Linked DNA regions of Coturnix japonica. The protein of the gene in region 3 binds, or shares a complex with, the protein of the main gene of each other region. Links are inferred from orthologs where the notes say so. Each region holds a gene or a part of one and is shown on either strand. Other genes may lie near its edges. The genes, in order: potassium voltage-gated channel subfamily A member 3-like, KCNA2 and KCNAB2.

Region 1 (8,233 bases), on a different chromosome or scaffold from region 3:
TACGCAGCCAGACGGCTGTGGGTGCATCTCAGAGCTGTTGTGCATCTCTGCTATGAGCCCAAAGGCTGCAGGGTGGTCATTCCTGGCCCAGAGGCAGCCCTGTGCCGCTTCATCCCTAATTGCAGAGCCAATAACTGTAATTAAATCAGGGTTAAGCTGATAGGGAAGAACCAGCTGAAGGTTACGGGGTGAGCAAGTGGCTAAACGTGGCTGCAGGAAGAGGAGCAGAGCGTTGGTGCCCATTTGTTTGCTGTAGCTGTGTGTGACTCTGAGTTAATCATGAGAAGTTGGGTTGATGCTGAAGCCTTATTTACAAGCTTCAGCAGTGGGGAGTGACCCGAATGGCACTGTCAGCCTCTAATGTTGGCAGGGAAATAGGGTTCCTATGGATGTGAACAGCAAAGGTAGGGCAAGGTGAGCTCATGGCTCTGGAACGACAGGAGGAGCCACACGAGTGAGTTAATCGTGTCCCCATGAAGCAGCTGGAGCTTTGTGTGTTCCCTGCTGTGAGAGGAGAGACAATACATTTATGGTGCATTAAGGTATTATTGTAACAGCGTTAGCGCTGAAAGGTTTCTGATCCTCAGGAATAAAGAGTAGCAGATTTGTCCCAGATTTATCAATGGAGGCAGGGTTCCCATTCAGACATGAGGGAGGGCAGGGCTCCAACACGTGCTGGCAGCACGGCTGCAGGATGCACAGCTCTTGTGGCAGGCACAAGAGGATGCTTGAGATGGGCAAGGCTTCAAGGCAGGGGACCAAAGGCTGGGAGCAGTGGGGGGTTGGAATAATGGTTCCATACATGGGAGGGGTCTGTAAGGGTTCCTCTATGGTTGTGGGTGAGGTGAAGCTGTGCCCCCTCTGCCCCAAGAAGGCCACGAAAGGAAGAAAGGAGCTGTGCTGGCTCAGCTGCTTTGCAGGAGCTGCAGCTGATGCTGCAGGTCAGCCTGTAGATCATTGCACAGGGGAGTTTCCTGAATGGCTGTTAGGAATCAAATTGAATTTGTCAAGTCCAGATTCAAGATTAGAATTGGACGGAGAAGCAGAGAGGATCTCGCAGGAGGAGGAGGTGGTGGCCATCCTGCATTAAACAGAAAAGCCACAGCCTGGAGGAGCACATTTAGTGCTGTGCTTTGCAGGAAGGTGTTGAGGGCACCGCAGGGGTGTCCCTTCTCATGGACTCCTATCAGCATTGCTGTAACCGTGCTCAGTCTCACCCTGTGACCGTGCTTGTGCCTCTTGGTTTGGGGCACAACATTGCCTTGCTTGACCAGCTGGGGCCAGCGGCAATGGCCCCGCAGCAGCCCTGCCTGCAGCGAGCTGCTGGCCTGGCAGAGCTTAATTAGATTTGATGGGATTAGGTGGAAGCAGCGGAGGGGAAAACAGGGCCAGGAGGCCACGCGGTGCCTGGGGCAGCTGGGCTGGAGCCGCAGATCTCCAGGCTGATCTAAAGCAGCCGGTAGCTGAGGGGTTAATTCCTGCTGCTGCACTGAGCTGATGGGGACAACTCGATCCTGGTTGCAAGGGAAGGGATTTTCCTCTCTGCATCCCAAAGGTACGCAGCTCTCTGCAGAGCTGGCACTGATTTCCAGTGAGTTTCCCCCCCCCCCGACTGAGAGCTGGAGTAAACTGTTGCAGTTATGGAAGTTACGCCTTGTTGCCTCGAGCCTTTTGTCATCAATAAATGTTTATAGTACGAAGCAGCCTTGTTTGTTTGCCTTCGACCAGATGACAGTGATTTACTGGCAGAAATCCTAGCAGAGGAAAGAGATGAGCCAGACAAGTCCTTAAGTAAGTGCTACACACATGTATGGAGGGAGCAGATGATGCTCTGTTGTATGATCATGAAACCCATAGAGAGCAGAGCTCAGATTTTGGATGTGAACTGTCATTTCCAGGAGTGTTTTGCAGCCTTTGAGCAACCAAGTGTGAATGATGTTTGGTTCTCACTCTGTCCAGGTTGGGATAGGTGGGAGGTGCTGAGTGTTGGGTTCTTCTGCTGTTAGTTACAGTAGAAATGATGAGAGGGAGAAGCTGGACTCCTGTTGCCCGACTCCCTCATCATGGGTGATGTGCAGCCACGAGCAGGACGTGAAGCTAAGGATGGAGGTGACCATAAGAACATAAATCCATGCAGGGCAAGGTGCCACGGCCTGGAGATGGGTGTCCCCTGTTGCTGCTGCAGCAACAAGTGTAGTGGCCTCAGCCGCAGCATAGAGCAGTTCTCTATGGTGGGTCCCTCCTTCTGGGCACCTCCACCACTTTTGGGGGCAGAAGGTTTGGGGTTATTTTGCCCCCTACCAGCTCTATCAGCAAAATGAGGAAGGGAAGCTGGGCTAGCTCAGATCTGTTCCCATTTACAGTTTGGGCTCGGCTCCTACAGCAATATTTATTGCTGTTTTCCCCCATAGGTTTGTATATTTTGTACAGCTTGTTTCTAATTTCAAGTATAAATAAGTTTGATCTTTTCATCTGCTTTTTTTTTCCCCCTCTCCCTACCTTCTGGAGGCTGTGCTGGTTAAAAATAACAGCAGCAAGGAGCTGCAGCGGGGCTGATGGTGAGGATTTCACCTCCTCTGCAGTGGGGCTGTCGGGGTGGGATGGGATTGGGATGCCCTTAACACATCCCTGACCCATGTGGTCAATGTGGTCAGGCTCCTTCCCCAGCCAGGAACCCCCTGAGTTCCCAGAGCCTCATGGCTCATGGCTGAGGATAGGAGTGCTCCTGGAGAGTGACCAATAGGGTTTGGGACCTATTGAGGGGAGGGTTGCCCTTGGGTTACCCCTCTGTGCAAGTCTTGTGGGGATGGAGTGATTGCCAGCATTGGGATCCTGCAGGGAAGGCTTTCTGCAGGAAAAACAAAGTCCTGTTTGACCAAAAGTGAACTATTTGTCTGAAAAGACTGATTGAGAAAAGCCTTCCAGCTTCCTTGCAGGAAAGACTGCGACTGCCTGTACTGAGGGCTGAGCCAGCTTCTCTTCTCCATTGATTTTGCTGTGGGGTTGCACACGCACACTCAAGACACACACATGAACACGTGCACTCATGCACACTCATGCACACTGGCTTATGTGCACACACATGAACATACACACATGAATGCACATGCATGCACACAAGCATCCACATATGCACACATGCATGCACATAGGCGTGCAAACACACGTGTATGTGCACATACATAGACACACACACACATACACACACACACACGCCCTGCCTTGCAGGACTCCCCCCGCCGCTCTCAGCCCCAGCAGCCGCCGGCTGTTCCCCGCCCGCAGTCACCCCGCACCCCGGGCACAGCTCGAGCCGCTCCGGGGGCTCCGGGGGTCCCCGAGCCGGGCGGAGCCGGGGGGGGTGGGTTCGGGTAGCGGCGGGGCGAGGCGGTGCCAGCGCTGGGGGCGGACTTTTTGAGCGCAGCCCGGCGCCGCTCAGAGCCGCGGCAGCCGGGAGCGGGGCGGCTGCTTCTCCCTCTCCGCCCCGAGGAGGAGGAAGAGGAGGAAGAAGAGGCTCCGACCGCCGCCTCGCCGCTCCTCTCACCCTTTCCCCCTTCCTCCCCACACCTTTATGGACGAGCGCCGGAGCTTGCTGCACTCTCCTGCCGCCTCCTCCGCCGGCCGGCCCCCCAGCAGCAGCCACCACAACCTGGGCTACACCGAGCAGCCGCCCCCCGGCGCCCCGCAGCCGCTCCCCGGCCACGAGGAGGAAGAGGGCGAGGAGGCGGAGGAAGGCAGCATGACGGTGGTGGGGGGCTCCGGGGACCCTTTGCCGGAGGAACCGCAGCATCCGCACCCATTGCTGGGGGGGGAACGCTACGAGCACCCCGCGCCGCCCGCCGCCGGTCCCGCAGGGCACACCACGGAGGTCAGCGGAGAGCACGAGTGCTGCGAGCGGGTGGTGATCAACATCTCGGGGCTGCGCTTCGAGACTCAGCTCAAAACGTTGGCGCAGTTCCCCGAGACGCTGCTGGGGGACCCCCGCAAAAGGATGCGGTACTTCGACCCCCTGCGCAACGAGTATTTTTTCGACCGGAACCGGCCCAGCTTCGACGCCATCCTCTATTACTACCAGTCGGGAGGGCGCATCCGACGACCCGTCAATGTCCCCATTGATATCTTCTCCGAAGAGATCCGTTTCTACCAGCTGGGGAAGGAGGCCATGGAGCGCTTCCGGGAGGATGAGGGTTTCATCAGAGAAGAGGACAAGCCCCTTCCCCACAACGAGTTTCAGCGCCAGGTCTGGCTCATCTTTGAGTACCCTGAGAGTTCCAGCTCAGCCCGGGCCATCGCCATTGTCTCCGTCTTAGTCATCTTGATCTCCATCGTCATCTTCTGCCTGGAGACTCTGCCTGAGTTCAGAGATGACCACGACTATGAGGGAACCGGGGGGACCTTTGGGACGGGTGGTGGCCCTCTCCCACCTGATGTCTTCACCAATTCCTCGTCCTCGGCCGTTTCCATGGTGTCGTCCTTCACAGACCCTTTCTTTGTGGTGGAGACACTGTGCATCATCTGGTTCTCCTTTGAGCTGCTGGTGCGTTTCTTTGCCTGCCCCAGCAAGGCCACCTTCTCCAAGAACATCATGAACATCATTGACATTGTGGCCATCATCCCCTACTTCATCACCCTGGGCACTGAGATGGCTGAGAGGCAAGGCAATGGCCAGCAAGCCATGTCCTTGGCCATCCTCCGAGTCATCCGCTTGGTGCGGGTCTTCCGGATCTTCAAGCTGTCCCGGCACTCCAAGGGGCTGCAGATCCTGGGTCAGACACTCAAAGCAAGCATGAGGGAGCTAGGTCTCCTCATCTTCTTCCTCTTCATTGGGGTGATCCTCTTCTCCAGTGCTGTCTACTTTGCTGAGGCTGATGACCCTGAGTCTCATTTCACCAGCATCCCTGATGCTTTCTGGTGGGCTGTGGTGACCATGACCACTGTGGGCTATGGGGACATGTACCCCATGACAATTGGGGGCAAGATCGTGGGCTCCTTGTGTGCCATCGCGGGGGTGCTGACCATCGCCCTGCCCGTGCCTGTCATAGTCTCCAATTTCAACTATTTCTACCACCGGGAGACAGAAGGTGAGGAGCAAGCCCAGTACATGCATGTCGGGAGCTGCCAGCACCTTTCGTCTACTGAAGAGATGAGGAAGGCACGCAGCAATTCCACCCTCAGCAAATCTGAGTACATGGTGATAGAGGAGGGGGGAATCAACCACAGTGCATTCAAACAGGCTGCCTTTAAGACAGGCAACTGCACAACCACAAACAATCCCAACTGTGTGAACATCAAAAAGATCTTTACGGATGTTTAATAAACACAGAGCGGCGGCGAAAGCTGAGGACGTGGTTAAAAAAGAATAATAATAATAACAATGATGCAAAAGTGACCGTGTGTACTTGGTGTTGTGTGGAACATGCACCATCGTCCGTCTGTCTGCGCCCTTGTTTTTTATACGTTTATTTTTGTAGATCTTTTGGGGTTTTTTTGTTTCCTTTCTAAAGATCCGAAAGGGATTTAATCTTCTCCAAAGAAAAGAGGACGGTCGATGGGGACGGAGGAGGAGAACGAAGACAAATGGCACCGCTGGAGCAGGTGTCTGTTCTGCAACGTGTTGCGGGGCTGCCTTTGTTTCCTGGCTTTTGGGGACGTCTCGCTTTGCTCCTGGTTTGCTCCCCCCTTCCCTGCAGGCGGTGCGGAGCCCATTTCCCTTCCATCTCATAAGCTCACTTGTTGGATTAACGGCCCCGGATTGGGTGGGGAGATGAGGAAAACATGTTGCCGAGCTCTGGAAGGGGGCTGGGAGGAAACAACCCTTTCATTTCGCACAGTCCCCGTTACCACGTTGTTACACAGCGCTCAGTGCTGGGAGGTGGTGTTCCCTTAGGGACGCACCGCAGATCCCCTTTTCTCCCCCTATAGATCATTCTTGTCTGATCAGAAGCCGAATGCAATCGGTTCAAACTAAAACCCAACCCTCTTATTTTCCACCCTTCCCTTGCAGCCCTGGGCATGATTTCACCCAGCGCAGGGTCTGTGGGTCCGTGTGCTGTGTTGGGCAGAGCGGGATGGGGTGGCTGCATGAGGGCTGTGATTCCGAGCTGCCGAGCTGCAGACAAAGGGATGTTTCCACCTTTTCCACCGCGTCTGGGAGAGATGCAGCTGCTTATGGCAAGGAGATTAAAGTGGTGAGCACGCCTTCCAGCGGAAGTCACTAATTCGGACCGGAGTGATGCAGTTGCTATGGCCACCCTGGTTTCCTGGGAAACCCCAAAAGGTTGTCATGGCATCCCTTCTCCCATCCCCCCCTCGGCCCTCACCCTTCCCTCCAAAGCCCTTCCAGATGGTTCCAGCCCCACCACCCCATGGCTCTGTACCGCACGGGGATCCCATCCTGCACCCCCATCCGTGCCCCATCCTGCAGCCCATCCCCGCAGCCAAACACCCACCCGTAGGCAATAAGCACTCCCCACATCCCCCTCTCCCTCTCAAAGGAGTTCACACCTTGGCGGTGAGATTTGGGAGCCTGCAAATATGAGTGGAGAAAGGACCGCCTTCACCTCACCTGGAGCAAAACCCCAAAGTGTCCTCCAAGGGCAGAAATGAAAGCTCAGCCATGAAAGCTCAGCAGCCTTTGGAAACCATGGGGACAAATGCAGAGCTAGAAAGAGCAAGAATGCAATGTAAGCCCAAAGTCGCCAGGGAAAATGTGCCTCCTTCATCCTTCTGTGCACACCGGGGGCTGCAGGACATCTGATGGGATCAGGTGAGCTTTGCAAGGGGGGGAGAGGTTTTCTTTTGCATCATTGCTTTTTGGAACAAACCTCGTGTTTCCTTCTGCATGGTGTCGTTTTCCAGCTCCCCTTGGTGTGTTTTTTGTGCACTTTGGGTGTCATGGGAAGGCAGCATCCTCTGATTCTTTGTGCTTCTCACTTTGCTGCACACTGAGCTCTGGGTGAGCAGTGCTGGGGTAAAGCTGTGCTGTTCTGTGCAGGGATCTGTCCAAAACTGTGCAAAAAATGAGAGTTGTGTCAGTGTTTTGGTGCTTTGGGTTGGTCCACAGTGGGGCTGGTGGGGCTGTGTTGTGTCCCAGTTGGCTTTGGGGTAAGAACAAAATGATCTGTCAGGTGAGGAGTGCACAGGAATGCCAGCAAAGACAAAGGACACCTGGAGCCCAACCTGGCTGAGTTGTGTGTTTCCTGAGGGGATGGAAGGGAGGTTTTTGACCATGCTGGAATTGGGAATTTTGCTGGGAATTCCCTCAGGCTTTAAAAGGATTGGGACAGTTTGTGTCACATCACGCTGCCCTTCAGCCCCAGCACCCCAACCAGTGAATAAAACACTCCAAACCAACAGGAAACATCCGAGCAGCTTCTTCACTAATGGCATCTGACGGCTTTATTGGAGCTGCAGCAGTTTCCCCAGCAGAGAATCTACCCCAACCATGGTGAGGGCGATGATCTGCAACCACACAGAGCTGACAGCCCCTCACCCTGACAGCATCCCAGAGCACGGGGCAGCAGGGAACCCCAAGGCACCTTCGCCAGCAGGCTGAGCTGTCACAGCCGGCTGCGAGCTTTCCCTTCTGATGGCTATCAAAGCTTTTCTGCATGCCCCATCCTAAAAGAAGGGTTGGAGCTCAGGGCAGTGGGAGCTCAACCCCCTCCTCGCTGAGTTTTATTGTGATATTTTTGCTGTGGCAGCTGCACGGATGGAAACCACACGTGTGCCTGGAAACAGCAGCGCAGGCTTCTTAGTTTCTGTGCCACTTAAATAAGCAAGAAACCACACCGCTCGTTAGTTTGCTTTCCTGGCTGCTTCCCCTCCTCATTCGGTGGGGGCAGAATAGCTTCAAACACATTTTGCTGACAGCAAAAAGCTCTTTATCACAGAGGTGCTAAAGAAGCCGAATCATCCGCCGTAGTTTTTCAGCACTGAATGGCACCGCTGAAAAACGTCAAAGAGCTGAAGGCACGCACAGAAATGGGAGAGGGAGCAGAAAAACGGGGATATCCCTGCTGTGCTCTGCCCCATTTCTGTCTGCTCCTTCCCTCGGTGCTGTCAGTTTCGCTGGGTGCCGTTTGCTCCGTGGTCTGACAGCTCCGCCGGGCGCATCCTGCCAGGAGATGCAAAGTGCTGCCAGACAGCTCCGTGGCAGCCTGCAGGGATGGAGCGCCCTGTGCTGCCTTACAGCTTCCTTCCATGTGTGTTCCTTTGCTGCCTTGCAGCTTCCATC
Region 2 (8,099 bases), on a different chromosome or scaffold from region 3:
AAACTATTGCAGCATGCAGCATTTTCCGTTATGAAACAAGAGCCGGGGCGATGCGTTCAGCTTGGCACTGCTGAGGTGGAAACCTGAGCCCTCTAACAAGCGGACCAGCCCTGCCTGACCTTCCCCAGCCCCAAGCTGATGACCCGGCTCTGGGGACGGGGCCATGCCAGTGAGCATCCCTGCATCCCTGCTATGGCGTGGAGCTTGGACCTCTCCACACCTCTGGGAAGCAGAGAGCCTGGGATGGCAGAAGGGAAACAAAATGGTTCGGTTTTGTTTGCTTGCACGTTATTCAGTGTGGAAATCAAAGGTTAAAAGTCACTTACACAGCTATTGCTTCCCATGCAGAACCAAATAAACACCGTAGAAAATACTGTGTTAACTACAATGCAGAGCAGCACTCAATATCTGCAGTTGTTCCACTTCAGCTTTAAATACGGGACTAGGATTTAGCGACTAGACATCGGTTAGCATTTTGGTGATATTCACATAGTTTGTGTTAGCTAGGGTGCAATTGGCTGTCTTCAAGTTCTCCTCCCTAAAATCCTCATTGCTATTGTTTACACCTTCCTGAATCTCCATATAATCAGACTTACTAATGGTAGAGGCACTTCTGCTTTTCTTTAGGTCAGGGGAAGAGGGGATCTTTGGGCAGCTGGTTACTTGCAAATATTGAGCCTGCTCCTCTCCCTCTGTCTCTCGGTGGTAGAAGTAGTTGAAGTTGGACACAATGACAGGCACAGGCAGGGCAATGGTTAGCACACCAGCGATGGCACACAGGGACCCCACGATTTTCCCCCCGATGGTGGTGGGGACCATGTCTCCGTAGCCAACAGTCGTCATGGAAACCACGGCCCACCAGAAGGCATCGGGGATGCTCGGGAATTGGGACTCGCTCTCGTCGGCCTCGGCGAAGTAGACGGCGCTGGAGAAGAGGATGACGCCGATGAAGAGGAAGAAGATGAGCAAACCCAGCTCCCGCATGCTGGCCTTGAGGGTCTGCCCCAGGATCTGCAGCCCCTTGGAGTGCCTGGAGAGCTTGAAGATCCTGAAGACCCTGACCAGGCGGATGACTCTGAGGATGGCCAAGGACATGGCTTGCTGGCCTTGCTGGCCATCCTCTGGCTTCTCAGCCAGCTCCGTCCCCAAGGTGATGAAGTAGGGGATGATGGCTACAATGTCTATAATGTTCATGATGTTGGTAAAAAATCCAGCCTTGCTGGGACAGGCGAAAAACCTCACCAAGAACTCGAAGGAGAACCAGATGATGCAAAGCGTCTCCACGATGAAGAAGGGGTCTGTGAAAGAGGTCGACTGCTGGTACCCCGTGCTGCTGTTGGAGTAGGGAGGGTGGCTCAGCCCGCTGCCGTGCATGTCTTCATTCTCATCCCGAAAAATGGGCAATGTTTCCAGGCAAAAGCTCACGATGGAGATCAAGATCACCATGACAGAGACAATAGCTATGACCCTGGCAGGGCCAGAGCTCTCAGGGTACTCGAAGAGCAACCAGACCTGTCTTTGAAACTCATTCTCTGGCAGCGGTCTCTCTTCTTCTTTGATGTAGCCTTCGTCCTCCCGAAACATCTCCATGGCTTCTTCCCCCAGTTCATAGAAACGAATCTCCTCTGAGAAGATGTCCAAGGGCACATTAACCGGCCTCCGCAACCTCCCTCCAGATTGGTAATAGTACAAAATAGCATCGAAGCTGGGTCTGTTCCTGTCAAAGAAATACTCGTTCCGGAGAGGGTCGAAATATCTCATTCTCTTTTTAGGATCTCCTAGCAAAGTCTCCGGAAATTGAGCTAACGTTTTGAGCTGGGTCTCAAAGCGCAGCCCTGAGATGTTAATGACCACCCTCTCGCAGCATTCATGGTCGGTCTCGGGGTTGTACGTGTCCTGTGGGTGACCTGGAAGAGCTGCAGCTTCGTCTGCAGGATCTCCGGTAGCAACTGTCATATTGGGGTTGAAAGAAAATCCTTATGCTAAACTCTTCCGAGTGCCCGGTGGTGGGATCGGACTCAGGGCAAGGCTACTATCCTGCAGAAGGACAGGTACGTAGGTGTGGAAGTGTCTCATGAAAAGGCGAAGGGATGATAAAACAGGAGAAAACAAAAAAAAAAAGGAAAGAAAATTGCCCCTGCTGAGAAAGAGAGAGATGAAGTAAAGTTGGGGGGAGGAGAGCGGCTCCCTGCACTACCGCTGCCTACCTCCGTCCTCAGGGGGGTTAATCGGAGTTAATCAGAGTTCAAAACTCCCATCTAAAGCCATTAGGCAGAAGGGAGGAAACACCTGAGGAACCTTCATCTATTCACAACCGGCATAGAAAAACCGGCCTTGACAAAGCAGAACATTTTGGGTTTTATGGTTAAAAATAATAATTCATAAGAGGGGAGAAAAAAGCAGGAGGGGGAAGGGAAGAGAAAGGAAGCAAAACCCCAACCAGCCCTATAGCGGTAAAGGGACCCGCGGGGCAGTGCGGGCTCGGCTCATTTCCAGGCATGCAGTTAAGGGTTAACATTCAACCGTGCATAGATTATTCTAAGGTTCTACAGCAGGCAATCCGGCACGACCCTCCAGGTAGCCCTAACGGCTCCGCTTTAACTTCGGCACCGTCCCCATCCTCCTGCCCCGGCTATAGGGCCGCGGGTGCTGCACTGCCCGCCCCGAGCTGGGCTCTGCTGCCTGAATTTGGATGCAAGCTGCCCGCGGACCACTGCAGTCCCCCTCCTCGACCGCTGGTGTCCCGGCTGCTCTCATTCTCTGCAAAGCGCCATGGCACACAGAAAACAAATCACATTACCTGGAGAAGCCAAATCTTAGTGTCTCTTAGTAAGACCGATTATCTGACCCCTGGGGAAATCCTAGAGAGGAATACAGGCTTCCAAGATCCCCATAATTTCCTCTCTCTTCAAAGTTAAAAATAATGGTGAGTCATCGTAGAAAAGGAGAAGGGACATAAAAGGGGTGAGATTTCCAGATGGTGGAAGTCGGGTCTTGGAATGGTTTGGACTGGAGAGAGAGAGAGAAAGAGAGAGAGAAAGAGACAGAGGGACAGAAGTCCTCCCGGAGCTGTTGCAGGTCCGCACTTCAGGGCAGAGCAGGGTCTGTCTGATGCCTCCGGTACGGCGGGGGGAAGGTGCTAAGCTCAGCAAAACCCGATGTCCCCGGTGTCCTCGGGAGGTGTGGCATCGCCTGGAAAAAACAGCGAGAAGGTAGAAAGCCAACGGGGGTTTTGGAGGCAGCGTCCGCAAAGCCCCCGATTCCTCCGGGCAGCGCCGCTTCCTCCCCGCCAGCTGTTATCCCGACGCTTCGCTAACCTGCACTGCAACACGAGCCGAGGGGAGAGCGGAAAAAAACAGAACCGCGTCTCTCTCTTCTCCTCTCCGCTCCGGGCGGTGGGGCCGGGCCGCCCGATGGCAGCGAGGGGAGGAGGCGGCGGGCGGAGGGGGAGCGCCGCAGCCCCCGGCACAGCGATGCTCTGCGGCGCCGCACCGAACGCCCCGGGGACGGCGGTCCCTACGGCACCGCGCTGCCTCCGCGGGGGGCTCGGGGGGCTCCGTTTTCATCGGTGAGACGAAGAGCTGGTCGGTATCCCCTCCTCCATGCTCCCCCCTGAGCATCCCCGGCCGTGAGACCCACGCGACCCGCACCCACCCTCTCCATCCTCCCCAAAGCCAACCCCCAGCCGACCCACCCCCCCGTGGGGATTCCACTCCGGTGGGGCTACAATTCTCAGGGAGACGCTGGGGGGGCTCCGATCCCTGCATCAGCCTCTGCTCCTCCATCAGACCGCCCCATGGGATGCTCGAGCAGCAGCGATCCATCCAAACTCTCCTTTCCCCCCCCGGTCTCTTTTTTGTTTTTCAGGTTTTTTTTTGCCCTCCCAAAGAAAAAAAAAATAACAACAATTCCTCTAACCTCCCTTCTTCGGCTGCAACTCGACTTGTCTACTTTGAGCCAGGATTACAGAACCGGGGAGGGGAGGCAGGTGGAAAATAACCCCGCGGTCTGAGCCTCCTCGGTAAAGATTTCAGCCTCCCGCAGGCCATGTACGCCTGTTGGTTTCTCTCTTCATCACCTCGGGTGCAGATATTGCTGCAGATCCTTCTTTTCTTGGAAATTTCCCCTTCCCGTGCAACCCTCCTCTCCCTTCTCCTTATGCACTAGAAAAAATAGTACAACCCTGACAAGGCTTGCAGCATCCAACGGCTTCGCTTAACCCTTTTCTACCAGGCCCAGAGGAGAGGAGCTGGTTTTTGTCCCAGTTTTTCTCCTTTCAGCCCCACTCCAAAGCCCCGCTGGGTTTAACCTCCTTTGGCTCCTGTGAGCATCACAGCAGAACACCACGAGCAGCATCCACCTGCTGCAGCCACAACGTGAACCTCCAAATCAACCAACCTTGATGATTTTTTTCCAACATGCATTTCTTCTCCTGCCCCTAAACTCCCTCCTCCCCTTCCTCCCTGCCCAAAACACCCCAGGTTTGCTCAGCAGTGCGGACATTTGCTCATTGTTTAACATGTTGATTATAATTTAGCATGAGGTCTGGGCTCCTCTCTCTGATCCCAGACCCGAGCGGTGATTCTGCTGCTGATCTGAGACGGTTACAGCATCATCTGAGTTGACATCACAGATTCCAGCACTCAATTTCTGCTACTTTCTCCCCATCACACTCTGTCCTGCTCAGAACCAAACACCTCCTCCCACCCCCACCCCGTCTTCGGGTTCCGTTCATGCAAATCTGGGGGCTGCAAGGGCAGGAAGAAGGCGATAGAAATCAACCACAAGAGCCCGGTTTGTCACTGCAGGCACAAGGCGAGCTCGCTGCAGGCACGAGCCATGGCCGTCTGTCAGAGCGCTGGGATTTCGGGCAGCCTCGAGGACAAGGTCGAGGCGTTTGCTTTCCCTTTTGCAACCGAGAAAAAAAACAAAACAAAAACGCCAAGCCTCCATTTCACAGCTTGTGGCAAGCCGCTATTTCAGCAGAGACAGCGGGGAGGGGAGGTGGAGGGGGGTGGGGGGGAGAAAAAGGCACCAACTTACAATTGGCTCTGCAGTCAGGCATGCAGCGAATGCACAAACAGCCGCGCTCCGCTCTGCTGGCAGCACCTTCACCTGCGCTGCTGGCCCTGAAACTCGCCCCGGGCTCCTGGGAGCAAAGCTCCGAAGGCAACAGAGCTTCTCAATGAATATTCATAAGATTAATATGAGCATCTCTCTCCCCCCCCTCCCTCCTCCCAAGCAAGAGACCTAGATTTCAACCACTGGGAAATAATCATATCCCTGGATGCGCGATGCTGCTGCTTTAGCGGGCGGCTCTGAGCGTACCACGTTTGTGTTGGAGCCTGGATCTGCATGGGGAGATCTGGGGTTGCAGCAGCTCTGCGCGGCTTTGGGGGAGGCAATGGGGCAGGATCAGGCTCCTGTGGGCCACGATGCCAATGTTTGGGGTGAGGATGTTGTGCTGCCCCATAGGCTGCAGCTCAGCTGGACACAATGTGAGCGATGCACCCACACCATCCCCTCTTCTCCATCACCCCTAGAGCAGTTGTTTTATGTCAGCCTGCTTTTGCAGACCTGCACATGGAGACATCACCCCATCCTAAAGGAGGGGGGGGGGGGGCAGGCACACAACAAAGCTGGCACAAAACGCTTTGGCTCAGCCTTGGATTGTTCTGCTATGACCATCCAAGGAGAGCACCAGGACTGCAGGGTGCCCAGCATCCAGCAAACACTGGGGGAGGTGATGGAAGCATTTCAGTTCCCATATGCAGCAGTCAGACTGTGAGGTGCTTATGCTGCTGGAGGGGATTGCAGGGCTCACCCTGGAAGCCCAGTAAAATCAGTGCTGTGGGTGATGCCCTGGGAGGTGTGGGGGCATGGTGGGGTTAACCCATGTTTCCCTGAGCCTCAGCTGAACATGAATTTCCATGGCAAAGTGGGGCTCACACACACACTCTGGGTATGAGGCTACTTGGGAAGAGGGGTTTTAATTTTTCCCTATGTTGTTTCAGCCTTTTCTGAGCTAGATCTGCCATAGCAGGGTGGGCAGAATCCAGACAACAAGATGCCCAAGGCTGATACTTATGCAACGTGTAGAAACTGAGGCTGAGAGATTCAAGCGCAGCTGAATTTCTAAGCTGCTATTCCCACTGCTGCCTTGCCAAGGCTTTGCACAACCAGTGGGGCTTTTCGTATCAGCAGAAGCATCTCCTTACAAAGAGCTCCAATCCTGCCTGTAGCAAACGGAGGAAACCTCTCTGAATTGAGTGATGCTCTCTGATTTACTACCCTAATTGTGGAGCTATTATTATAATGTGTACATCTGCACCCGCCTCCCTCTGCCACGCTGACAACTCAAGATGTAATTCAGTGCTTTGGAGAACGCAGCGAGTCAATACACTGCACCTACTTGTCTGATTTACATGTGTTTCAATGGCTGACACCTTTGCATTAATATTGTCATGAAAATATATAGAGATTCCCACTGGTTTCTTTCTGTTATCCAAATGGAATGTATACCTTTCTGAATTGGGACACCCTGATGTGATGGAACAGGGTCTGAAGATGGAGGCAGCCAAGGAACAAGGTGACACATGTTGGGGGAGCACTATGGGGCCATGTTATGGTCTCTGGGGCAGCTGAGCCCATGGGAAGGTCTCCTGATCCTACAATGAGCTCCTGATCCTTGGGAAGACCCACTGTCCCTTGGCAAGGCATGGCCAAAGGGAACCCAGCCAATATTACCCACCTGCAAAGATCAAATCACATACATTCTCCCTCTGTGGTGTTTCCCAAATTAAAAATATGGGGTTATTTAAAGAAAATAACTCCAGGTTCCACCTTGAATGTTCGTTTGATGAAGGCTGTTGTGTTGATGCATCGCTCAGCCCAGAGCAGAACCAGCAAAGACTGCATTGCCTGAGAGCTGTTCATTGAAAACAAAAAGTCATTTTGCCCAACTGAAACACGGTGTAGAACTTCAGTTCTTGAGGTCTTTGGAGCCCATTGAGGTTGTGAATATTTCATAGCAGGCTGCTGCAGGATTGCTAATGGAGCCATGGCGCAGGGCGAGCGGCAGCTCCGGCCACTCTGGCTAAAAGGTTCTTATAGCCTCTTTCTTTGACTTGAACCAACAAAAAGGACAGGACAAGCCAAATTAGTGAGAAGAAAGGAAATCAATAGCTTCCTTCGAGACAGGCACGATTGCTTTCAGCTCTGGGAAGGAATCTGTCCTGCTCCCAAGCCAGCATTATGCTCCCCACACTTGTCTGTGTATAACCCCCCCATGTTCCTCCCCAGGGCTGGGCCTTTATGAAGGCATCAGCTGAGCCACCGCATCCCCCTGAGCTGGCTGGGGGCAGCTGAGGGGACCCAGCTGTGTTCCTCCATCCTCAAGTCCTTCCAGACACCACGAGACTGAGCTGCTGCAGGGCTCCAAAAGTGCTTTTCTCTGTGTTGCTGCCAGCCAGCTTTGCTGAACACCAGAGCTCCCTGTCTGACCCCGTGGGAGATGCAACAGAAGTGATGAGTTTTCCCACATGCCTCATTTTCCTCCAATGATTTGTTTTCCTCGGGTCTGAAGCAGACCTCTCTCATGTGTTCAGTGGAGCATCACTTCTACTCCAGCTTTAGGAAGGACGATGCTCACCGAAATAGCAAGGAAACAGAACTAACTGAGCTTAGGGAGAACAATAAGGGGAGATGGGAGATGCCTGCAGTGGAGATAGCAAAAACCTGCAGACAGGTTGTCTCTGCCTTGGGGCAGTGGGTAGGTGACCTTAGGTGACTTCATCTCCTGGACCCTATGTTCCTTGTGGTCTCTTCTAGCTTGGAATGTTCCATTCCATTCCATTCCATTCCATTCCATTCCATTCCATTCCATTCCATTCCATTCCATCCCATTCCATCCCATTCCACTCCATCCCATCCCATCCCATCCCATCCCATCCCATCCCATCCCATCCCATCCCATCCCATCCCATCCCATCCCATCCCATCCCATCCCATCCCATCCCATCCTTCTTCTTCTCTCATCCCATCCCATCCTCAAGTGCTGCATAACATCTGTGTGCCTCCCTGTCTATCTGCCCCTGCTG
Region 3 (7,551 bases):
ACTACGTGGACGTGGTGTTCGCCAACCGGCCCGACCCCAACACACCCATGGAAGGTGGGTGCCGCAGTGCGGTTGTGCCACAGTGTTCCTGCCCACGGCTCTGGGGCCACGTCCCTTCTCTCCCCGTTTTCTGCATGGTGTGTGCCTTATTCCATTGCCATCCGTGGGTTGTAACCATGCTTCTTGTGGCAGGCTTTCCTTTGAAAGTGTGTTTCCCACCACAGAGCGTAACCCCTTCAGTTAAAGCTCTGAGCATCCACCCCTCACCCTGTGCCAGGAGCGCGGCCGGGGGCTGCCGTGGTGCTGGGGGAGCGCGGCCCCGTCCCCCGCTGTGCCCTTCGCTGTGACACCGGCGGCTGTAACCTCTGGTCTCTCTACATCTTTCTTTTATCACCAGGGCACCCATTTAGTTCTTCCAAGTCGAGAACATTCATCATAGAAGGTACATCGTACCCGCAGTCTGAACCCCAGTGGCATTTTATGAGACAGAACCCGCATCTTTCATTAATTTTGATTCCTTCCTCCCTCAATAACCCTCTCCATAAAATGCGCGAAGGAAAACAGCAGCAGCAGCCAAACCAAAATACCCCCCTGTCCCCAGAACATCTTGCAAGTGAAGGAACCAAGCCGACAGCTGTGCTCCCATCCCATCCGCTCCGCTCCCCTGCATGGCTCTGGCGATGCGCTTCTGGCGCTGCTTTGGCACTGGGGAGTGCTCAGGACCTGGGTGAAGCCGTCAGTCCTTGCTGCACGCAGCTCTTCCTGCTGTCAGTCTGTCCTCATGCAGAGCACCCTGGGGGCACCGTGTAGCCCAGCACCCGGCTGTACCCCTGTGCCATCCCCCGCTGGACGCAGGACTGGGCATTCTCCATGCGGTCCTGTCCCCCCCCAAGCTGAGCTGCCAGGTCTGGCTGCTGAAGCCTTTGGTTGACACAAAGCTCGTGCTCAAAGCTGGGCTGCACGTGCTGCTGTTGTTAAACCAAACTTTGGCCACGTTCTCCTTCCTACTTCCTTCACTTGGCACGGCATCTTGGCTTGCAACGCAGCCTGCATGGTTGGGAGCAGCCCGGTGCCGGCTGAAGTTGTGGCAGCCCCATCCCCTTCCTCCCAGCATCACTCTGGGACGGAGCAGCGAATCCCTCAGCTCCACATTTCCCACCGCCCTGTTGCACGGTGGGCACAGCAGTTGTGCTTCCAGCCGGGTGGTACCGGAGGGTGTGGAAACATCCACCTGCTTCCCTCCTCCTGCAGCATTTGCAACAAGCACCGTGTGCCAGCGCAGCCCTGGGGATGCCCACCTCCACAGGCCGTGGCACAGCCCAGAATGGGCTACACCTGCAGAACGCTGGGTTTGGGGGGTGATCTCTTTTCTATGTCCTTAAGCCCCGTTTTAACTCATTTCTGTGGTGGAGCACTTTGGGATGAGCTGGAGGTGGCTCCGGCCCCATTGCCTGGGAGCAGTGCTGTGTCCCCGGTGCATCCCTTCCTCAGTGCCCTCTCCTGACCGTCACCTCTCCCAGAGGACCATACTTCTCTTTTTTGTCCCTCCCTCCTCATCTCAGCATAACCACACCGACCTCCACCCGCTTCCATGTGATGCTCTCCGTGTGGTTTGACCTGGGTCTGTTTTCAAGAGATTTGGAAACGCGTTAATTGCGGAGCAGTCTCTCTCTTTCTCTCTCTCCCTCTCGGGTCGATTTCCATTCCCTTTTGGTTTAATTTCCACACCCAACTCCCGCCCGTTTGGCGTTTGGATGTACCCTGCTTGCAAGATGTGCATGGCCCAGCCCCATCCCTGTGCCCTAACGCCCGCCTGCTGCTCTCCCTTCCTCTGGCAGAGACGGTGCGCGCCATGACACACGTCATCAACCAGGGCATGGCGATGTACTGGGGAACGTCACGCTGGAGCTCCATGGAGATCATGGTAGGGGCCACATGTGGGTGGTACAGGGGGTCCTGGAGCCCAAATCCCTGCCCCATGACGATGGGGCCGGTGTGCACTGATGGTGCCGATCCGGGTTGCAGGAGGCGTACTCAGTGGCACGGCAGTTCAACCTGATCCCACCGATCTGCGAGCAGGCCGAGTACCACATGTTCCAGAGGGAGAAGGTGGAGGTGCAGCTGCCTGAGCTCTTCCACAAGATAGGTACCAACCCAGGATCCTCCCCATCCTGCAGCCGTTGGTGCAGGAACACACGAGCTGCTCCCTGGCTGCTGTGCCCCACTCCTGGATGTGCTGCTGGGGTGAAAATGGCACTTTCTGGGGGGAAGGGGGGGGGAAATACAATGCGTCCCTTTCATGTGGATTCTTCTCCTGAGGGCTGTACCCATTGCTCCTCCCTCTCCATCCCCTCCCGTGTGCCCCAGCACCTCCACTCCACTCCTGGCTCCCCAGGCTGGTTCCCCTGCTGCCCCTCCTGCCCTCTGCACCCACGTGCTGCCCAACCCCGGGCTGAAGGCAGCACACAAGGTGGCCAGGTCACTCTGCTCTGCTCTCCCCAGGTGTCGGTGCCATGACCTGGTCCCCGCTGGCGTGTGGCATCGTCTCGGGGAAGTACGATGGTGGCATTCCTCCGTACTCCAGAGCATCACTGAAGGTGAGCACCATGTGGGGATACACGTGCAGGGCTCTCAGGGCTCCTCCTTGGAGCCCCCCCACTCACCTCCCTCCTGCCCCAGGGATACCAGTGGCTGAAGGACAAGATCCTGAGCGAGGAGGGCCGGCGGCAGCAGGCCAAGCTGAAGGAGCTGCAAGCCATCGCCGAGCGCCTGGGCTGCACGCTGCCACAGCTCGCCATCGGTAAGGGGGGTGTTGGGGATGGAGGGGGGGCAGCGGCCGGGCCCTGCTCAGCTCTGCACTCTGCATCCCCAGCGTGGTGCCTGCGCAACGAGGGCGTCAGCTCCGTGCTGCTGGGAGCCTCCAACGCCGACCAGCTGATGGAGAACATCGGAGCCATACAGGTGAGCTGTGCAGCGCTGCAGGTGAATCACTGCAGCGTGATGCGGGGCCGTCCCACACGGCTCTGGGCGCTCCCCTGCAGGTCCTTCCCAAGCTGTCGTCTTCCATCGTCCACGAGATCGACAGCATCCTGGGCAACAAACCCTACAGCAAGAAGGATTACCGCTCCTAGGCGCGCCCCGCCGCGCCGCCCCGCCGCCCGATCGCTTGCTTATGCTTGGATGAAGCAAAGTGGAGAGCGCGGACCGCATCAAGAACAGCACGCCGAGAGTGTAGAGAAACCGTTCCAAACGTCGCTGCAAGAGAACATAACGCTTATTACATAACATTTAATTTGAATGCAAGGAAGCCACCGCCGGGGAGAGCGCCGGGGCTGAGCGCACCCCGCGGCCGGACTCGGAGCCGCAGGGCCGGGCTGGGCGCTGTGCTCGGGGGGCTCCGTGCGTTGGACTCAGCCGGCGGGGGCCGTCCTGGGCGGCGGCTGCGGCCGTTGCATGCGCCTCCCCGCTGCTTCTCTTCTTTACTTTGTGTTTCTGGACATGGAGGCCGTTGGGTGCAGGTGTGCAGGGCTGGATGCTGGCCCAGACCTGAGCCGGGGCTGTAAGAGGCTGCATCGCCACCGACAAAACCAACACCTCCCGGCGCTCCGCTCTGCAGCCCCAGCGCACCGACATGGGGTGGGAGCGAGGGAGGAGAGACGGGGAGGAGAAGAGGGGTGGGCAACGGGAAGCATGAGAGGGGGGGACTCCACACAGCTGGTCTCACCCTCTGTGCAGGGGAAGCAGCACACGCTGCTGAGTGGAGATGGGGAGGTGAAGCACACACCGGGATAGATAAGAGAGAGCTGCAATTGTTATGTGTCTGCACAAACCACACAGAAACACAGAAGCAGGTGTGTGGAATTGCGTATCTACATGCATCCGGAGGTGACTTCCAGATGTGCCACATGTGTTGCACACATCCTGCAAGCACATACACATACATGTATACAGACAGTGTGTGTCCACCCAGCAGCACTTCACCTGGTGCTGCTGCCCAGGGGGGGCTGGCTCCTGGCCCTTCCCTCCCCAAGCATTGTGCTCATCTCCCACCTTGATCCCAGGGCTGGAAGAGCAGAGCTCCCCTCATTGCCAGCACAATAACGACGCTGCTCCCACCTCCTTTTTACAGGATTTATTAAAACACAGAGAACATGAACCAAAACACACAGAGTACAAAGTAAATGTGAGTGTGTTGGTTACAGGTGCCATAAACCTCCTACGAAAGGTCACCACGGTGCAGTATCACAAAATAGCAGCCCACCAGGCACAAAGGCAGCAGTGCAGCCGCCCTCTGCTCTGCTGCAGCAGCCCCCACGACACCCCCCACCCCCACCCAGCTCCAGGCAATTTGTGGCCATAGAGAGGATGGAAGGAAGAAGCAGGAGGAGCACAATGTCCAGCACAGCCCAACCGTGCCCTCCCCACTGCAGCATGGAGAGGGCAGGCTGCAGGCAGAGGGACCCCGGGGCAGGGCTCACTGCAGCCCAGGGATGGGCTGGGAGACTCCTCTCCTCCTCCTCTCTGCTCCCCGTGCTGCAGCAGGGCAGGGCAGGCATGCGCTTGCTCAAACACAAAAAGGACATAAAAATAGAACTTACAGGGAAGCTACTGAACAGGAGTAAGCTTGGCGCCTAACGGTCAGCGTGGAACTGGACTAGAAACAGAGCTTCCAACAGGTCTCCCTTTAACTCTGATACATGTCAATAAAAACAGACATAAATACTGTTATTCTGCATCCCTTCTTAACTCATCCCACACTTCCAGACAAACTCTTCAAGTCTTCAATAAGAAAGTGCAAAAAAAATGTACAAGGAAATGAAATCCCCTCCAGAGAAGTTCTGGTGATGGTCGGGGTCACGTCGGTCAAAGCACACGTGGGGATGAGGGGTGTGAGGCTGCAGCCTCTGCCCACTGCATCCCCATCCCTCGGTGACCATGCGGCTTCTTCTCGGGGCTGGAGAGTGGCCCAGGGGCTGCTGAGGGGACAGACAGGACTCGTGGTCTGCCAGCACACAGCAGCCCAGAGGATGGTCACAGGTGCAGCCTTACCTCGGGTGGGAATGGGAACAGCATTAGGAGATCTTGGAAAGGGCTAAATATCTGTTGGTGAGAGAGAAAACAGCTGCTCATCGCCATCCCTGCTTTGCACTAGAATCTGTCACTTCCATTTCCCTGCTCGGGTCTGTCAGAAGTTTCAACCTACCCGTCACGTAGGGTCCCAGAGGCATCTGACTGTAGTTGACAATCCCACCTGGCCCAGGACCTCGGAAATTCGGCCCGAAGCTGCTGTTGTAGATCTGTGAGGAACCAAAGGAGCCCTGAGGGAATGAGAAGGGAAGCTGGAGCACGGGGAATGCAGCACAGAGAGCTGGGGGGGGACACAGGGCACCCCAAGGCAGCTCTGCACTCCTCCAGCCCACACACCTGCTGGACCGGGGGCTCCCCTCCACGCGTGGTGAGACGGCTGAGGATGCTGCGTTCCGACATCTGCAGCCGCGCAGCCACCGGGGGGATGCGGGACAGCATGGAGGGCAAGCGTGTCACGTCAGCCTTCATGTCACTCAGCAGCTCCTCAAGCTGGTTCAGCACTGCAATGCACACCCGGCACTGCTGACCCTGCAGCGTGGCCCCCAGCACCCCCGTGCCTGCTGTGCTCTGTCCCCATAAGCCCAGAACCCTGTGACCCAACTGAACAAGCATCAGCTCCTCCACCCAGCAATCCCCAAAGCTGGATTTCCCAATGGTCTCATTGAGCACAGCCAACCCCTCCCTGCACCTCCTGCTCTCTACACCCCCACGTACCTTTGTGCAGAACAGCGTTGGCGGGCTTGTTCCCAGCAAGGGACTCTTTGGAGAGGTGCTGGTGGCTTTCAGCAAGGCACTCCACTTCAGCCAGCCGGGCGTTCAATGCCATGGCCGGGTGGCTGGGGTCTTGCGTCATGTTCAGGTACGCTGCCCGTCGCAGCTGCTCCTCTATCACCAGGGCCTGCTCCAGCAGCTGGGAGGCACAGGAGAGCAATGGATCAGGACCAGACCCTGTGCCCATGTGAGCCAGTGCCACCCACATGCCACCACCCTCCCCATCCATCCGACCCCACAGCTCCTGGGTTTGTATCATCTTCCACAGCACTGCCCTGTCCATGTGCCACATTCTGGAGCTAGCAAGTGCTCCTGCTGCTCCAGCCCTGCCCCTCAGGGCGCTGCCTCGCTGCCACTGATGTCTCACAAACATCTGCCGCCTCCTGCTCCGCTCCACCTCGCTGTGGGGCTCTGCTCTGAGCCACCACTAAGGACTCACCAGCCCTGAACCTGCAACTCGCCTTGAAGCGCCGGGCGAGGAACTTGTTCTTCATCTCAAGGTAGTTCCCTTTGTGTATCTCTGACTTGAAGGGCTCGTTCAGGATCACGTAGCGTGGGTCGTTCTGGATGTCCTGCCAGCGGGCATAGCCGTGGCTGCAGCAGAGGGAGCGTCAAGGCAAGAACCAGCCAGCAGGCAGCATTTCTCAGCAACACATCTCCAGCCCCTTTCCCTGCTCCATCACCTCCCTCCCCAATGCCCTCACAGCACAGCCCCCTCCGCCTGGCACGGGGAGGCCATCACCCACAAAGCCAAAGGGTACGTGACAATCCCTGCCAGCAGCCAGTAGTCATGTCTGCGGTGCCAGATGTCATAGATCTTGCTGGAGGAGATGGCAGCTCTTTCCTCATTCTGCCACAGCGTGTGCAGCTCTGCAGAAACAGAAGAGAGACAGCCTGGTCAGCCAGCAGGGCTGCTGGGCACAGCATGCGGGGCGAGCAAGGAGATGGCCCAGGGAGCCACAGGAACAGCGCTCAGTACAGAGCTTTATGGAGAAGCTCTGCAGGAGTAACCAATGGCTCATCTCTCATTTCTACCTGTAAAGCCTCCATCAGCAATGTTGAACATGAATCTAAAGTTCACATTTCTGTCATCCTTCTTTCCGTCCTCCTCTTCTTTGTCACCATTTTGCTGAGTCTCATTTTGCTCCTTCTCTTCCACCCTGGTATCCTCTGCTGGGCAAACACAGGAAATCACACCTGCCCAAACTCACTCAGCCATCAGAGCGGCTGCTGCTACCACTGCCCTCCCAGCTGCAAGGGGAAGTCCCCACTAAAGTCACTGCTGGAGAAGCCACCAGCCCCACCTCCCACCCACCTGCCTCCCCCAGCAGCTCCTGATGTTTTCATAGCAAGCACAGGCAGTGCCCTGTGCCACCCCCAGACACTTGCCTTGAGTCACTGACCCTGCCCAGCAGGGCACCTTGCACCACTTCTCTCCCCAAAGCCTCCTGGCACTTTACCTGGCTTGACTTCTTTGTCCTCCCCTTTGCCAGGACTGCTGTTGGACTCTGGCTTTTCCAAAGTCTTCTCTTTTTCTTGAGTACCCTCATCTGCAGAAGGGAACAGGACTCTGAGAAAAGCATAACATGTAAAACGCTCTTCAGGAAATAACAGATATGGATTGACTGTAACTTTCAGGGTAAAGTGACTGTATTGTGCACAAGCATTTCTCACAACTTATTTTACATTTAA

Evidence for each region.
Region 1: the proteins of KCNAB2 (region 3) and potassium voltage-gated channel subfamily A member 3-like are in contact, whole or in part, in a cryo-EM structure (PDB 7EJ2), measured with the Homo sapiens proteins. The link is inferred for Coturnix japonica from reciprocal best matches to the Homo sapiens genes KCNAB2 and KCNA3. Residues at the interface, in NP_001186789.1 of Homo sapiens: Met196, Tyr199, Ser200, Arg203, Glu231, His234, Lys235, Ile236; in NP_002223.3 of Homo sapiens: Pro133, Met137, Phe140, Pro142, Leu143, Asn145, Tyr147.
Region 2: the proteins of KCNAB2 (region 3) and KCNA2 are in contact, whole or in part, in a crystal structure (PDB 5WIE), measured with the Rattus norvegicus proteins. The link is inferred for Coturnix japonica from reciprocal best matches to the Homo sapiens genes KCNAB2 and KCNA2. Residues at the interface, in NP_059000.1 of Rattus norvegicus: Met193, Met196, Tyr199, Ser200, Arg203, Glu231, His234, Lys235, Ile236; in NP_037102.1 of Rattus norvegicus: Asp28, Glu33, Pro62, Met66, Phe69, Asp70, Pro71, Leu72, Arg73, Asn74, Tyr76.

What each region holds. Positions count from the first base shown.
Region 1 is NC_029541.1:1,849,581-1,857,813, reverse strand, and holds the start of potassium voltage-gated channel subfamily A member 3-like, read left to right. Parts: upstream 1-3,397; 5' UTR 3,398-3,568; coding exon 3,569-5,311; 3' UTR 5,312-6,763; intron 6,764-8,233.
Region 2 is NC_029541.1:1,831,262-1,839,360, forward strand, and holds the start of KCNA2 (potassium voltage-gated channel subfamily A member 2), read right to left. Parts: upstream 5,176-8,099; 5' UTR 5,044-5,175; intron 4,366-5,043; exon of another isoform or gene 3,919-4,365; intron 3,883-3,918; exon of another isoform or gene 3,695-3,882; intron 3,623-3,694; exon of another isoform or gene 3,318-3,622; intron 3,193-3,317; 5' UTR 1,957-3,192; coding exon 457-1,956; 3' UTR 1-456. UniProt on the Homo sapiens protein: Voltage-gated potassium channel that mediates transmembrane potassium transport in excitable membranes, primarily in the brain and the central nervous system, but also in the cardiovascular system.
Region 3 is NC_029536.1:539,156-546,706, reverse strand, and holds the end of KCNAB2 (voltage-gated potassium channel subunit beta-2), read left to right. Parts: coding exon 1-54; intron 55-397; coding exon 398-442; intron 443-1,838; coding exon 1,839-1,924; intron 1,925-2,025; coding exon 2,026-2,146; intron 2,147-2,502; coding exon 2,503-2,597; intron 2,598-2,679; coding exon 2,680-2,800; intron 2,801-2,872; coding exon 2,873-2,961; intron 2,962-3,041; coding exon 3,042-3,131; 3' UTR 3,132-4,728; downstream 4,729-7,551. Other genes in the region: CHD5 (chromodomain-helicase-DNA-binding protein 5), read right to left, coding at 5,093-5,100, 5,204-5,318, 5,425-5,588, 5,803-5,998, 6,321-6,453, 6,621-6,729, 6,895-7,029, 7,320-7,409.